Coturnix japonica: one gene and its partners. The protein of the gene in region 1 interacts with the protein of each later gene in a biochemical or structural test. Links are inferred from orthologs where the notes say so. Each region holds a gene or a part of one and is shown in the gene's direction. Other genes may lie near its edges.

Evidence for each region.
Region 2: the proteins of MSH4 (region 1) and MLH3 form a complex in vitro, tested with the Homo sapiens proteins (2 studies listed by BioGRID). The link is inferred for Coturnix japonica from reciprocal best matches to the Homo sapiens genes MSH4 and MLH3.
Region 3: the proteins of MSH4 (region 1) and MSH5 form a complex in vitro, tested with the Homo sapiens proteins (2 studies listed by BioGRID). The link is inferred for Coturnix japonica from reciprocal best matches to the Homo sapiens genes MSH4 and MSH5.

The regions. Positions count from the first base shown.
Region 1 is NC_029523.1:26,865,359-26,871,951, forward strand, and holds the start of MSH4 (mutS protein homolog 4), read left to right. Parts: upstream 1-2,636; 5' UTR 2,637-2,694; coding exon 2,695-2,938; intron 2,939-4,890; coding exon 4,891-5,055; intron 5,056-6,593. UniProt on the Homo sapiens protein: Involved in meiotic recombination. Required for reciprocal recombination and proper segregation of homologous chromosomes at meiosis.
Region 2 is NC_029520.1:34,599,057-34,604,962, reverse strand, and holds part of MLH3 (DNA mismatch repair protein Mlh3), read left to right. Parts: coding exon 1-1,380; intron 1,381-3,197; coding exon 3,198-3,296; intron 3,297-3,948; coding exon 3,949-4,019; intron 4,020-5,020; coding exon 5,021-5,125; intron 5,126-5,906. UniProt on the Homo sapiens protein: Probably involved in the repair of mismatches in DNA.
Region 3 is NC_029518.1:52,073,167-52,078,054, forward strand, and holds the end of MSH5 (mutS protein homolog 5), read left to right. Parts: coding exon 1-1,228; 3' UTR 1,229-1,648; intron 1,649-2,817; 3' UTR 2,818-2,871; intron 2,872-3,136; 3' UTR 3,137-3,258; exon of another isoform or gene 3,259-3,558; 3' UTR 3,559-3,868; downstream 3,869-4,888.

The DNA.
Region 1 (6,593 bases):
ATACTCAGATGAAAGCTAGTTCTTTTGATAGTAATCGTTACCAGTGAAAGCAACAAAAAATATGATTTCTATTAAATACAGGAGTATACTTCAATTACTGGTGAAGTTCCTTTTGACAAAATTCCCGATAGTTGAAATGGAACATACCTTGAGTGTATCTACATTGAAAATTGCTAATGTTAATCATTCTGGAGAAATTCTCCATAGGTATGTGACTTGCAGCTGAATATTGTGTTGTATTAGGTGGGTATGAACTCGGTATGTAACGCAATAGGCTTTCCCGTGCTCAGTAGTGCATATGTATGAGATGAAATAGGAGACCTATATAAGGGACTCACGCAGTCGAATAAACACCATTTTGCCTCTCACCACATTGGTGTAAGGACCAGCGTGTAACTTGGTCGGGGCCATCAAAGCACCTTACTGAGGGACGTGACTTCCAAGGTTATCAGATCAGGTAACAATATAGTGCTGATCATAAGTTTGTTGCTGGACTAAAATTCAGGTTTTGCAGCTTTTAAGAATAAAAATTGCCAACACTTTGAGATGTAATTGAGGGTTAAATTAGCCATGGAAAACAGTCATCTGAAATATTAAATCTTGTCTATTCAGAAGCCCTAAAACTGTATGTCACTATACCCTCCTGCATGCAGTCTTAAACAGAGCTCTGCTTCACAGTAAAATGTAGTTGTGAAGGGGAAGAAGTTGTCTTTGATAATCTCTGTATGTATACTTAAAAAAAAGGTCTAAAACTATTTCAACACTTTTGATCACCAGCTGGTTAGTTTTATCCAACCCATTCATCTTAGAGAAAAGGCACAGTGACTTTCTGGGAAATTCAGAGACTGTTTGCTCAAATATAATGTGTGGGGTTTGTTTTTTTTTTTTAACCTTTAGATTTCCAAAAGCTTTTAGATGATGATTTAAAAAAAAAAAAAAATCAAAATGGTTCCCTTCTAATGGTTCCATTTCCTGGTGAATTATTTGGTCAAAGCCTGGAATTTATTTTTTCAAGATTTGGAATTAAGTTAAGGTTGACTTTTTGTTGAGTATGGGGGGAAATGAGAGCACTGATTATAGTTGTTTTTTGTTTTTTGTTTTTTTAAATTTGTAAAAATAAAGTTAAGAAGAAATAACCTCACATTCTGGGTTGTTTTTGTAAGTGCCACTTTTTTTATTCATAGCTTCTTTAGCCAGTGTGTAGGGATTTGCTACTTTTTCCATGTTATATAGAGATAACGATATGGTTTGTAATTTCTGGTTTAGTATAGACTGAGACATTCTGGGAATTAAAATTTGGATGATACTTCATGAAAGTGTAGAACACTGTGGTCTGAAATCCTGATAATGTTATTGGAACTTTTCTCTGAATGAGGACTGGTCACCTTGATTTAAGATGTAATTAATAAAGATCATGTTATGCAGATTGCAAGTTAAAAATGAGTATGTGTTTGTCCAAACTAAAAGCTTCTAGAATTTCTCCTCCATTCTTTACCTCTTAATTTATTATAAATATTGTGTACACATATAAAAAAAAAAATCAGCTTTTCTTATACAAACAAAAGAACACTTCAGTATGTGATTTTTGTTGCAGAATACATTGTTAAAAATCTCCTGTGTTTTTTGTTTTTTTTAATGCTTCTTTCGATTTATTTTTTTTAAAATTTTTTCCCTGAGTTTATGTACTTGATATGTTGCAGTACTTTACCTCACAGCCTTCAGTTACTGGTCCTTTATTAAAGGCTTTCAGAAGTTTGTACTTTTTTATCTGTGCAGTTCTTTGTATGGAAAGGTCCTGACACTTTCTTCATACTTAAATCTTCATTGCTGTAGTGTGGCTACCGGGCCAGGTTAAAGGGCTACCTGGGAAAAATCTGCAACCATTCTGTTAGCTGCTACAACCACTGTCAAGGGTAGAGACAAGGTGTCATGTTTGTGACAGCCTGGTTAGACAAAGTGTGCGTTATGATTTATGAACATAAGAAATGGGGGTCATGGGGAAGATGTAGCTTTTGTTTCTGTTTTTCTGTCTGTGCAGTTAGATTTCTGTCTGAAGAGAAGGTCTAACGCCATCTTCGAGTTGTTAAAATAGTAGCAGTATCTGAAACTGGAATTCTTCATCCATTGCGGTGAAACTCAGGTTTCTGACACTTGTATTTTTAAAGCTGTGTCTGCTGGAGGTGCTCCCCTGCTCTGACCTGGACACTGGCAGCTGGTGCCTTTCAGTGCTGGCAGCTGCTGTAGCACTGGTTGTCCAGTCAGCTGTAAAACACGGTGCACAAATGATGCTTAAACGCCCGCCGCTGTGTAAGGAACTCGGCAGCCGCCGTAAGGAACTCGGCAGCCGCCGTAAGGAACTCGGCAGCCGCCGTAAGGAACTCGGCAGCCGCCGTAAGGAACGCGGCAGCCGCCGTAAGGAGCACGGCAGCCGCCGTGCCGCCGTAAGGAACGCGGCAGCCGCCGTAAGGAACGCGGCAGCCGCTGTAAGGAACTCCTCAGCCGCTGTAAGGAACGCGGCAGCCGCTGTAAGGAACTCCTCAGCCGCTGTAAGGAACTCCTCAGCCGGCAGCTCGCGGGGAACAACCGAGCGGCGGCTGGGTCGGGGGGGGGGTGTGTGTGACAATCGTGCGCATGCGCGGTGGGCTCAGTTTGCCGCCGCTTTCAGGTGCAGTGTCGGCTGTGCGTGAGGCCGCGATGTCGAACGGCAGCAGCAGGACGGAACCGGGCGGGAGAGGGGGCGCCTCGGCCGCCTCAGGGTCCTACACGGGCCGCTGCTCCTCCGTGTCGGGGCCGGGCGGGCACTACACGCTGGGCCTGCTGCAGACGCCGCGCAGCACCTCGGGCAGCACCGGCGGCCTTTCCAGCGGCGGGGCGGGGCTCACTCCGTTCCGTGCTGCCGGCAGCAGCAGCAGCAAGGAGCCGCGCTCCGGGCGGGGAGGTAGGAGCCGTGTGTCCGTGTGTCCGTGTGTCGGAGCGGGCTGCGCCCTGCGTGTCTGTCCGCGCTGAGCCGGGCCGGAGCTGCGGCAGCCCGTGTGGTCGGCGGGCGGAGCCGGAGCGGCGGCTGTTCGTCCCGGCCGGCATGTTCCGTTTGGTTCGGCTCCTCAGAACAAGGGCGGCGTTACTCACGTTTCTTAAAACAAACGCTGTTTTTGCATGACCTTTTAGATAATTAGCGCATGGAGTCATTTGGCTGATTGAATTCCACCGCAAAGGTTGCTGCCACCACAGGCTGTACCGGATTCAGTTGGTTACAGTTACTTGGCCTAGCTTAGCCTAGTATTGCTGTCCCGGTGCACTCGGAGCCTGTGGTCCTGGCGGTTGCTCACAGTGTGTCCTTGGAGCACAACTAATCACCTGCTCCTGCCGACTTTTTGTCTTGACAGGCTGGAAAATGTGGGTGGTTGGTTTTTGTCTTTGTTCGTTTGTTTTTTATTTCCCCTTCAGTAAAACTACTATAGTAATAAAAATGGGGCACTTGCTGAAATGTCTTCTGAAGTACATACGTTCCTGTTATGTGTAAACTGGGATGACAGTAGTGTGTTTTTCAGTAAGAGGTACGGTCAGCCTTGTATTCAAAACAGGCCAAAACTTTTGATACCCATTTGTTCAGGGCGTAGCTCTGAGCATATTTTGATTATTATTTTTAAAGATGTTGGTGGCTCGGCTCCTCTGGTCTTTGAAATTACTTTTTCCCCACGCATTAAGGCAGGTGCAGTACATTCAAGAGTAATAGCAAAGTCTCTTCTGCCAAAATGCTGAATGAACTTACGCTGAAGTCGAAGTGAATACCAATGTTAACTGTCATCTTTTTGCGTTGTGATGCAGATTTTTCCACTCGTTACAAATAAATAAAATGTGTATCTGAATTAATGCTATTTGTTTTCAAATGTATTACAGTGGAAGATTTGCAAGACCTCTTCTAAACATGGTGCTGTAAATATTCTTGTACTATGTGAAACTGTCATGTAATTGGTTCACTTAAGAAAAATACTTTATTACTTTGTAAATAAATTTTGACGTAATATATAGAACGGAAACAGTTAACATGTCTCTTTATATGTAGTATTTTGAATGTTTCAGGTGCAAAAAATCCATTCTGTACCCTTAAAATTTTTAAAAAGCAGTTATCAAAGCTGGATTAAGGATGTTATGTTTTTACTCATCTCGAGAGCACTTGAGATACGTAAAATACTATTTACCAAATAAATTACTAATTTATTGCATTTAAGAGCTATCTGAAAAAAAAAAATTGTTCTGCCGCATTTAAAAAAATAAGTCAATCTGTGTATCTGCAGAAGAAATGGCAGGTAACAGTTAACTAATATGTTTCAGATTACTGTGTCATTTCTGAGGGTTGAACCTCATAGATTCAAAGGGAGATCACGGTCAAGCAGAGCGTGTTTCTGAGCAGTTCTTTGCTCTTTTAGTGCCCTTTTTTAAAAGGGATGTTCATGTTAAAAAAAATATTATTGTGACCTTTTCAGACTCTGGAACTTCCATAAACAGAAGTTTCAGCTATGGATTTTAAAACAAATGGGAAACTGCAGGATAGAGCTGTCAGTTATAGCATTTTTTTTCATGGATCTGGAACTCATTAGAATATGAAATTATGCATTGTAAAATTACTCCAGTTATATTGTTTCCGTCCAGCAAATTAAGCAGATATTTTTATCACCACTGCAAATAAAGTCATTACAGAAAGCAGCTATCAATACAGGCTGGCTTTCCAAACAAACTCATTATTTCAGGCTTGTCCTACTGTAGAGAAGGCTATTGGGGGTGGATTGCTGAGATTTCTGTACTTCTAGTACAAAACAGAAGGTTTTCTAAGATGCGTATGTGTTGTTTTCAGAATGGAAACTGACTGTTTTTCTTTCCCTTTCCCTCCAGAATCATATCTTGGGGACAAAAGTTCTTGTGCAGAAAATGCTAGTGCAGTGAATTTCACAGATGGTTGTTCTGCACGAGGCCTGAATAAGACATGTGTAGGAAAAATACCCTTTTCTGCTAGTAGGTCTATTGGCAGAAGCCATGCCCCTCTTACAGGATATTCAGGTAAATTGATGTTGCTTAAGGGAAATAGTTCAACATCTGTCTCTAACGTTTTATTAAACATACTTTATTTTTCAACATGCTTATGATGTGACACTGAAAGATAAATCATAATCTTTTTTTTATACCTAAGCAGCCTAGATCCAAGGGAGGCATAATGATAATTCTCTAAACTAGTTACTTATGGACTGATTCTTAAAAACATGTATTTCAACTTAAAAAAAATCCTGATAAGACTAGAAATTGATTCTCTACTTGAAACTGAATTGAATTCTTTGATTGAAAAAGTGAGGTAGCATGAATTTTGTAATTTCTTACAGCTGTTGTGATCCTCTGTTCTCTATTTGACTACTCTAGGAATTGCAGTGACTATAGCTTTGTAACTCACGGAGCAGGTTTCTCTAACCTTTATGTGTTTTAGCAGTTAAAACCGTATTTTTAATCTTTACTTTTAGTCTACAAGTATACATGTACATGTTTCCATATGTCTGTGTGGTTATTTGTACTTGCTGTGTTGTATGTAAAACTTTGGTCACAGTTTCACTGGTCTGAACTGAAGACCAGCAATACCACTTTATGAAGAACATTGGTTGATCATTGTATTTTTTATTTTTTTTTTTGTGTATGTAACAAACTAAACAACTCACCATCATCAAAATCAAAATTGTCTAACTACTGTAACCTAATTTAAGATCATTATCACCTCTTAGTTGCAGTTTAAAAAAAAAAAAAGTAATCAGCTACTGATAGGGTGGGGGGAAGTCATGGGTAGATCATTCAGAATAACAGTTATGTTTTCAAAGCAGGCCTTAGATGAAACTATGCGTGAATGCCATTGCTGGCATCTATCGAACATAGGGTGAATGAAGGTTCAGACTCAGCTGTGTGCAGTATCAAAGACTACATTTTCTCAACGCTTAGGTAGCAATTAGTTGGACATCAAGTTGTCACTTCCTAGATAAATTTTTGATGAGGGTTGCTTTTTGAGATTTCTGATGGGGTTAGTTTTGGTCTTGGGGATACAAATTGATGGTATCCATAAGAAAATTGCAAGTTTGTTTTATTATGCCTTCTTGAGAGAACAGTTCTGTTCTGAGGACACTTGTATTCCAATCTTATTTGAGAGCTGATTCCACTTTTGAGGAAAGTAGTGATGGGAAACAATATAAATAATTACATGAAACAAACACAGGTTATTGGTATTTCAGGTGTTGTATATGCTGTCAAAATCTGATACTGTGTAAAAGGAAGTATCTTTCTTATTTTAAGAACATTATCCTTGGTTGTTATTTAATAATGGTATGTCTTCTGAGTGTGTGAATTCAAGAATGTTTATAAAATGAAGACCCCTTCCAACTCAGCTGTTGTTAGGTTTGGTTTGACTTCTGCATGAAGGTTAAGAAGCTTGAGAGTATGAAGTGACAATTTCATGGAGCAATTATTGTTTTAGTATAGATCAGTAAGTTGCATTTTAGCATTAAAAATTTATTTCAGTTTCTTACTAGCTGCTTTGGTGAAATTAATGGATAATTGTTCTCTGC
Region 2 (5,906 bases), on another chromosome or scaffold:
ATCTTGCATTAAACATGCACTGCAGAGCTGGCCCTGTCAGTGCCAAGCATACCCAAGCATACTCACACAATGTGAGTTTGCCAGTTCAGGCTTTAAATGCTAAGTATATTTCCATAAATGTGAATAAAGAATATATACCTTTCTGCAGCAGAGAAGTAGGCAGTGCCGATGGAAATGAGCGGTCAGAGAATAAAAGTTTGCCGAGTCAAGCACGTGATGGGAGAGACACGTCCACTGCCACCAGTAAAAGACATTATGAAATATCACATGTATCAGACTTGCCGCTGGCAACATCTTCAGGTATTTCTCACAGTAAAGCTGCAGAAAGCCCTAGAAGACAAATAGCTGCGCCAAGATCACAGCCTTGCAAGAAGCTGAGCCTAGCTACACAGCTCGGTTCATTAGAGAAGTTCAGGAGATATTATGGGCGTGTCAAGTGTACACTACCAACACCATCACCAGAGCAGAGTGAATTTCATCTCCCAGTTTCTAATGCACAAGCAAACTGTGACTTTTCAAGGAGTCAGAATAACAGCCGTGGTCACTTGAGCATTTGTGAGACTCCAACTTTGGATTCTAATAATAACAGCCACGTTTTGAGATCTTCAGATGAAGTTCTACTGTGTAGTGGAGAAACTCCACTGGACAAACGAACCCTTTGCCGCAGTCCTTTGACATTGTCTGATTACTCAGAGGTTAGTAAACAAACTACAAGTAGTCAAAGATCTCCAGGATCCCTATCATCCAAACTGTGCCAAATGAAAAGTGATCACCGAGCAGTACAACAGCTGGGTGAACAACTCCAAACTGATTCAAGTAGAAAAGATAACCACTCTTTTGATCTTGAATCTTCAAATAATGATCTTTTATATAACCCTTGTCAAAGGTATAAAGCCTCAGTGGAAGAAATGAGGGAAGGTCACAGCATTTCTAAGGGGGATGTTTGCCCACCATCAGATGATCTGAGAGCAGAGTCCATGAAATGCCCTGTTAGCCTGTCACCACTCAGCAGCACTGAAGGAGAATGCACAGTTTCTGCAAGTAGTGTTTTACCAGCAAAAAATGATGGCGCTGAGGTCATCTGTGAAGATGAAAGTATGTTAAATGAATCATCAAAACAAAGCGTGAAAGATGCTGACGTTCACTGTGTGGTCTCTCCAAGTAACTTGGCGTTCTCTGCAGACAATGGAAATGTGGGTGATCCCAGGGATGATTTGCGTAGTTCAGACTGGCTGCAAGATTTTGATGCTTTGTTGGGTAAGACAGTCTACATCAATAAGGCAACGGGACTGAGCACCTACAACACTCCTCCTGAAGAGTTTCCAGCTGCCTGCATTACAGACTTAACAACAATGGCTGTGAACGTTGTCTCAGAGAATGGTAAGATGATTTGTTGTTGTTATAAAAATGGGATGAGGAAATCAGTATTTGTTCTGCTAGGTGCATGGAATGTTTTGCTGGCTGCACCTGACACTCACACTGAAAAATCCACTGCCTTATACATAGCAGAAAACAGAACTGTTGGTGACTATGGAGACAAAACAAACATGTTAATGTTAAGATGTTACAAGATGGTTTTTAATAAAATAGTGAAAGGAAATGTCAGCGCTTAGTTTTCGCTAAGCATCATGACATCTACTGTAATCACACTCATATCTAATTGCTGTCATATGCAAAGGCTGCTCTGAAACTTAATTCCTCCCATTTTATTATGCTGGCCCATGACATCAGAGATGGATGTTGATGGTAGGGTAGAAGAGGTTGAAACTTTCACCAATATCCCATTACGTGTTGTTGCTGTACAACAGATGGCAGCAAAGGGGCAGTCTGATAAAATGGTTTCTGACATGGGAGTGCGTGTGAAGCTAAGGAAACTGAATTCCTCCATATCCTTTGCAGAGGAAAAGGATCCGAGGATGTTGGTTGACACTTGGCTGAACATGAGCCAGCAGTGTGCCCAGGTGGCCAAGAAGGCCAATGGCATCCTGGCTTGAATTAGAAATACAGTAGGCAGCAAGAAGAGAGAGGTGATTGTCATAGGCCATGCGCTCCATGTGCCCAAGAGAAATGTAAGGTTTTGCAGGTTAGACTTAGGCATCTCTGAACTTAGTAAGTTGACCGTTACAGGAAAGTTTATCAATTTTTTTTCATAATCAAATTACTTTCTGAGTAATCTAATGTTCTGCATCAACATGATAATGTAATTATTATTCAAGTATTCTAGATGTATATGGTTTGCATGTATGAAGTAGAGAAGTTATTCTTGGCACCTTTTCTGATGTTACCTGTCAGATTAATAGTTGTAATAATATCTCTGCGAGCTCTGAATTCTCACTGGCCTTTGGACAAGAAAATCCTGACTTCATGAGCAATGTATGTCCATCACCAGGCTTTAATGGGATAAAGCCAGCAGTCAGGAGTCGATGGACTGGCCACAGGACCTCATAGAACCTTTTCCTACTGAGCTTATCAGCACACAGCTTTTATTTTTATTTTTTGGCTTTATCACTCTGCCATATTTCCTGAATGCACACCCTTAATTTCTTAGTAGAAAGGAACTTTATTAATTCATTATTATTTCACAAAGAATAGAAATCTGAATTGTACCAAAGGAAGGGTGACATGTTTACCACTGTGCTGGAAATCTGAGCCACTTAATAATCTTGATAACAGTGCAGGTTTGTAATATCATTAAATCATTTCTGGGTGGGTAGGAACATGTTGTTAGACTAACTTTGATAGCTCACGTGGTCTTACTGGCTTGTAGTTTGCAGTCTTACAAGGTGCTGATAACTGCTGGTAACTACTGATGGTGGTGGTAATGGATTGACAGCTCTGCCACACCTGAAAAGAGGGAAGTCAAAAGTGTTTTGATTGTCTGTATGCCATCTCTTTCCTCTTATGGTAAACATTTATGACTGCATTAATTCTTTAAGTAATTTTTATGTGATTAAAATCATAACCAGTTTTTAAGAATGTCAGTCTTGCAGAAGCCACTTTTCCAGCTGCAAATGTATCTGATAATTCTCAGTTTTTACATATGAGCTGCTATTTCTTAATGCTAGATTGCCAAATCAACATAAGAGTCTAATTTGCTCAGGGCTAAGCAAGCATTCATTTATGAAAATATAATTGTATAGCCTTTTGTGTTTTTGCACACTGATGAATTTGCAGAAGTCAATTTATGTTGTTTTTAGGGTTTCAGTGCAGGTGCCATCCCTTTAGAAGTGAGATTTTGCTACCCTTCCTTCCTAGACCTGGAAAAGAGAAGACTCTAGCAAGCCAGGATCAGAGAGGTAGGGCCAGCTTTCCAGGACACAGTGTACTGCTGTAAAAACAAGTCAAAGAATTCTCCCAGGTGTCCCAACAGGAACCCAGAATTACTCAAGGTCTGCTAACAATGGGACTGTGTGAGTCACCTCAGATCTAGAACTGGAAAAAAACCTCTTTGAGGGTTGAAGGTAGGTTAGGGGGTACTTATTTACAGATTAAATACCCAGCTCTTTGTTGAATGATGTCAGTAGCTTAAAGAATAATTACCTAGTCCCTTCTTTGTACTCATTCCAACCTTGGAATGTGAAAAATAGCTTCAATCCACACATTCTTTTTGTGGTAGAATGGATGAAATCACCTTTTTGGTATGTGGCTTTGTCCCGAAGCAGTGGGTAGCTAAATAGGTCCTTCATTTGTTTTTGTTTCTTTTCCCTCCTCGTTTCCAAGGCCTGTAGAATTGTGCTGCAGTGTGCTCAGGAAGCTGCACAGGGTCTCTTCTAGATAAAGCAAACAATAGAGAAGCCCACTCTCATGCTCCATTATTTATCTGTACAATCACCCGTTTTACTAAAGGAAAAAAAAATGTAATTATACTTGTGTGAGGTAGAGGTACCCAATGTACCTTCTGCTGACAGCTTATGGTAGTCCCTGTATTATCTGTGTGCTCTTTCCCAGGTGGTGATGGCGGGTCTCTGCAGACGATGCTTTCAGAATGGGATAATCCTGTTTTTGTTCGCTGCCCAGAGGTAAGCATTATCTTGCATCTCACACCAACACATAGGAGTTATTTTATCTGATATGGGGACCAAAACTGCAAGTATTGTAACTGTTCTGTATAATTTATTCAGTTATACTTTAGACTACAGGCCTTGCAATTATATTTTATAGCTTGTTTATATGTAAGTCATTTTTATGCATGTATTCAAAGTTGGAGAGGCAGGTATTGGGCTAATCCTTTACCTTCAGTCATTTCAAAAGTAAGACTTTCTTGTAAGCTGTCGTCTTCTTTACGGAGATGTTCGTCTTAAAATAAGAAAGTTTGATGTCAGAATGGTAATATATTGTCTGTCCTCTTTGAGGACAGAGTAAAACAACTCATCTTTCTCCTCTGGGCTGCAGTGGGTCTTAAAGGTTTATTTTACTGTAGTTGTTTTCGTAGCCTAGCAGGACTGTAGCATGTGAGAGGGAAACAATGTTGGAACTTTTAGAAAAACTTCCTTTGTTGTCATGAGGCAGCATTATCTTTAATCATCGTGTTGCAAGTGTGTAAACTTACGTATGTAGCCATTTCCACCTGCACACAATGGAGATGGAGTCACAAACCACCTGCTGGTGAATTTTTGAAAAGGAACAATTCTGTTCATTTGTTACAGTGACAGATTCTGAGTCATTTCAGGGTGATGTGTATTTGTAACTCACTCCTCTGGGAGCTTATCTAGGCTGGTAGTCAACATCAGGTTTTCTGATAGGTATTCATAATTAGCTGAATGTACTGAAGTTAGCAGGTAATACCCAGATGGGAAAGTAAGTGGGGATGGAAACAGAGTGATTGCCAGACTGTATCTCTAACTAGTGCTGTGTTTGAGTGGAAAGCTTGGTTTGTCAAAATATGTAGAGCTACTTCCAGAAAGTTTTTTCCCAAATCTGACTTTTTTCTTTCTTTTTTTTTTTCCCCATGTTTATCCTAGGTAGCTTGAGCCTATAAAATATTAATCTAAATCACTTTTTTTTTTTTTTTTTTTTACAGGTAGCTGTTGATGTGACCAGTGGTCAAGCTGAGAATCTTGCTGTGAAAATTCATAATATTTTGTATCCTTATCGTTTTACCAAAGACATGGTTCAATCAATGCAGGTACAATATGATCTATTGCTAGTTTTCATGCTATAATTCCCGCTCAGTTGTTGGGATTTTCTGATGTCTCTGCCTTGTAGGAGAGAGGTATCCAGGGAAATAGATCATATCCTTAGTTTTCACAAACACAATCAGAAATCTTGGTGTATAATACCATCAGACACACATGTCAAGCCAGATCTTAGTATCTGGATAATCATCTATCTACAAAATGACTAAAATTCCTTGGTTGCATGGTCAAATCAAGAGGCAGCCTCATTGCTGCTGCTTTGAAACACTGATAACTAAATGATATTTCAACAGGTGGCTTTTTATATTTCTCGTAAATATTTGCTAGTTCGTGTTCTTCTGAAGTCTATCTCCTATCTCTTATGGTTCTATATTTATTGACTTTAGAAATTTAATTCTTAAGCAGAGTGGTTTCAAAAGCAAATCCTAGATTTCCTGGAAAGACTTGAAATTTCCTTTTAAGATTTATATCTGCTCTGAAAAGTGATTCTTAAAAATAACATTGTAACATGAAGTCTGGCTATTTTAATGCTCTTTCATTGTATATTTTGATAGTTAACTTAAAATCTCATGTGAATATATGGCTTCAGCTTACGTTCTTTGCACTTATAGGTATCTCAAAGTGAATTCTCTCCCTCTCTTACATATTAAAGACTAACAGGTTTCAAACTGGCATTATTCTCATGCAATCAGGTTGCTGACTTTGAGATTGCAGGTTCTGACTGGGTGGGACATGGTAATAGTAAGGTCAGGGTGGAGAAGGATGGAAATG
Region 3 (4,888 bases), on another chromosome or scaffold:
GGAAACGTTGGACAGCCATATTCCTTCCTGTTGTGTGATCTACATTCCTTTGATTGGGTTCCTTCTCTCCATTCCACGGCTACCAAGTATGGTGGATAAAAGCGACTTTGAAATTGAAGGCTTGGACTTCATGTTCTTGTCCGAGGATAAACTGCACTACAGAAGTGCTAGAACTAAGGAGCTAGACAGCCTGCTGGGTGACTTGCACTGTGAGATAAGAGACCAGGAAACACTTATTATGCACCAGCTGCAGACAAAGATCTTGGAGAGGTCTGAAGTGCTTAACAGCGTGATCGAGTATACTGCACACCTAGATGTGCTGTTGGCTTTGGCAGTGATGGCCCGGGAGAACTCTTACTGCCGGCCACGCTTTACACAGCGCCATGGCTTCCACATCAAGGACGGAAGACATCCACTGATGGAACTATGTGCAAAGACATTTGTGGCTAATCCTGTGAACAGTGGTGAGGCTACCAGACGAATAAAGATAATCACTGGGCCCAACTCGTCTGGAAAGAGCATCTACCTAAAGCAAGTAGGTCTTATAATATTTATGGCTCTAATCGGCAGTTACGTGCCTGCAGCAGAGGCAGAGATAGGAGCAATTGATGGGATTTACACAAGAATCCACACTAGGGAATCAGTTTCTGTAGGACTCTCCACATTCATGATTGATCTTAACCAGGTTGCCAAGGCAGTAAACAACGCTACAGAGAGGTCATTGGTACTTATTGATGAGTTTGGCAAGGGAACCAACACACTAGATGGCCTGGCCCTTCTGGCTGCTGTGCTGAAGTATTGGATCAATCAAGGAACCCAGTGTCCGCAGGTCTTTGTCTCCACTAATTTTCACAGCTTAATGCAGCTGGAACTCTTGCCTGACACACCTCTTCTGGAATATCTGGCCATGGAGACCCACCAAGATGGAGATGAGTTGGTGTTTTTCTATCAGATCAAACAAGGAGTATCCACTGTTAGTCATGCTGCCAACATTGCTGCACTAGCTGGAATGCCAGCCAAAATTATTGAAAGAGGAGTGGAAGTGTCAGAACTGATTCGCAATGGAAAAGCTATCAAACGTATTGATCATCCTGCCAAAGGAGACCAGATGGAAAAATGCAAGGCTGTTGTTGAAAGGTTTCTTAGCCTAGATCTTGATGATCCTAATGTGAACTTAGAAGAGTTCATGCATAAAGAGGTGTTGCCTTCTGCAGCCTCAATTCTGTAGCATGGCTATGTCTATAGGCATATATTACAAGTTATCTGCCATGTTCAGTAGGGTGGTTTGGTAATTTCAACAATGACTATGACTAATGTATCACACTACATTTTACTTTTTAAAACTGTCTATAGTGCATGCTATTTCTTATTCCTGTCTAAAATCAGTATGGAAGCTATATATCTCTGTATGGTGCATGGTATGAAAGCAGGAAGACTGAAAGAGGAGAGAGAATTCAAGAACCTCTTCCAGCTGTTGGATCGTGCATTTTGAGCCCCTATTGTTGGATTCTCAGACTGGAAAAATACTGTAGAAAAATCGAAATAGTTCTGCTGGTCTCGTGAGACTATAAAAACAAAGTGTTTATTGTTTTGTGTACAGTGGAAGTAATCATTTCGGTCATTTTAGGATCATCACCAAACGATCACAGTAAGTATGTGCCTTGGACTCCCAGATCAGCAAATAACGTTGCTACAATACAAACCACTAAAGTAGACTCTGATTAATGGAAATACAGAAGGATCTAATGAGCTCTGTGACATTTAATAAAGCTGCATTTCTGGCCATAATGGCAGAGAAACTCCAAGAGTTGATATAAAAAGAATGGAAGTCAGAAACAGTGGGGTTTGACTAAAAGAGAAACACTTTGGTTTTATTGAGAATAATTTTTCTGTTATTTCTGAGTATGTATGCAACACATATTCACGAACAAGTGAATAAAGAGAAGGCATGATATACAGTTACCACAAAAGTAATAACCTTCCCTGCAGTAGCATAAATGCCTTAGATTCATTATCTAAGTAAGACAGAAAGACATTAGATATCTGATTGACTGCCAAAGCTTGCAGTAACTGCTAACAATATTGCTAATCAGAGATAATCAGCAGATATATTGGATCTCACTTCTGCTCTACTTGTTTTCAAGAAGACAAGATTCCACTACCACTATTTCAAGAGAGAAAAATTATATAAGGAAAAAAAATAGTTATATTCATAATTACTGGTACTAAACATTTTATCTGTTTGGTATATTTCACTGAAGACAGTGAGGTAAATGTGAGTGTCCACCAAAAAGATCTGAAATCAGAAACAGTTCAGTGCAGGCTCAGTGCAGAATTTCCTCCTTTTATGGTGTGCATTTATGATAGTACAAAATAAGTAACTTTTGTTATCTCTAAAGAAACTAGGATAGTGACAAATGTTTAACATACATTACATGAAAAATACAAGAGTAAATGACTGCTGCTTTCAGTGTGATCATAATAACACTACCTGCAAAATAATATCTGACATCTTGGGGATATTACCGCTGAAGTTGAATGGTAGCAGTGAACAGCCATGGACTATACTTACTAGTGCTGTTTACAGATTTTTCTCACAAATATATTATCCTTTATTAAATACACATACTGCATTCTAAATATGTGCTGCATAGAGGAATATCGTATGTTAAATATTCTTAAGTTATATTTTTTGAATACTTTCTTGTCAGCCTATGCCTGGACTAAGGATATACAGCTTTTTAATTAACCAGATGCCATCTGAGCAGTGTAACTGTCAGTCATCTGCTAATAAAATTCATTTCATCATATTTGCAGTTCAGACAGCAATACGTACTAAAGGATTTCTGGATGTTATGCAGCATTTATCAGGTGAGCCTCACAACACTCCCTGAAATAAATAGCAGATGAATGAAAAACAGAGGGGTCGTGACTGACCTACAGCAATGTAGCAGGATAGTGAGGGAAGGAGGAATAGAAAGGTTATTATTAAGTGCAAAACTCAAGTTACTTCTTTCACTGTGTTCAGTTGTTCTTTGTACAGAAGATAATGATACTAACCCAGTATTATCACCCAAGTCAGCTGTGAAACAACTAAGCATGTGCAAGTCAGTTATCTCCCTTTGTCTCGTTCCAGAGAACACCCAAAGAAACACTGTGCCTGCTTAACCTGGGGAAGTTTTCCATGGCACATTTAATTTCAGGACTGTCAAACTAAATGTAAAGAATGAGTTTCTCCACTTCTGAGCAGATAAGAAGGTAACCTGAGAAGCTGAGTGGACACTCAGACATCTCCTCCCTTATCCACTTTATCTGAAATGTTATCCTTTATTAATTTCTATTTCCAAGGTTGTGCTTTTTGTTTTGTTTTTACATTTATCATCTTGTCTATGTTCAGCTTAATGCTGCGACTTCAAAGTGGAAAGCTGCTTTCTTCAGATGTTTCACAATTAAACTCAAAATGATAGAGAAGACTGATGCTAATGCCAGTGGATTGACTGACGATGCTTCCTGTTAATTTACAGATTTTCAATACATAATATCTTTCTAAATCTATAGAATACTACGTGTATTATCCAGTATTATGGAGGACCAAGGAAGATTATTCGAAATGACACCGACCCGGTTCTGTCAGTAGCTGTGAATATCAGAACACAGAAAATATGTATCCTGGCCAATACTTCATGCAAGGTAGATGAATGCTTTAAAGAAACAAGAAAGAAAGAAAGAAAGAAAGAAACAACAGACTGGCAAAAAAGCACCTTGAAGATCTGAGATATTTTAACAAAACAGTTACATTGATGAGCAGCTGATATTCTGCAAAAGCTGTGGATTTTTAGAATATTTTTAAAAGCAGCTGTTATAACAAGCAAAAGCTTCAGCCTACGATTTTATGAGCTACAACACACCACCTACAACTGGCTGACAAGTCCTTATTTTGCTTCAGAGCAACTCTGCATTATGTCATGTCCCTGAAGCTACTTCATGTATCTCAGAACTCATTTCATCTTCCGGCTGATTTCAGAATATTCCTTGATTAAGATCTTCACCTTTCGTATTTTATAGGTTTTTTTTTCTAATGAATAAAGTACTTTAATGCTTGCTAAATCAACTGACAATAATTATACTATGTACATAGTTTTAGAAAATATTTCTTCTGAAAATTACTTTCCTGGCCAATGTTGAAAGGTTACATAAAACATTTTATTGCAATGCTAGCAAAGAAATCTTATGGAGATATATCTTATGTTAATAATAATTTACTGTTAAGTTAGTGTGAAATAAAAAGCTAGACAACCTATTATTGCTTCTCTATATTTCTCATAGATATTGTAACTTATTTCTATGTTTGTCTACTTTTTCTTGTCAAAAAAGCTAATAAATGGGCAAGAAATAGATACCGGCAAGAGAATATGATACTATGATTTCATCACTAGTGTGTAATTCACCAAAACATATTCAATCAAGAGAAATGTTAGCCTGCAAATCATGCATAATCAACATATGAATTCCCCTGTTTATTTGCTTATTTTCTCCCAAAGGGGAACCAAACAATATCCACACAAGCAGCATATAAATACGGTGACAGCATTTCTAACTATGTAATCTACACTATAGTTCTAATTCTGTAATTTTGAACAAGTAATTCCATCTTTTGGCTTTGCATAGTTTCACAAAATAAAACAGGCTATGATTTTACTGTAATGAGAATATCCAGAGCATTAACCTACAGTACAGTATAGCACTACTTTTTACACAGTAGATGTACTAATAATTCCTTCTAATATACCTGTATTTTAAAGTCTTACCTCTTCAGCTGGGTACAAAGATGTAAAAACTGTGATGCTATAGCATAAGCAACTCCTTCGTTCATCTATAAATTAAACTT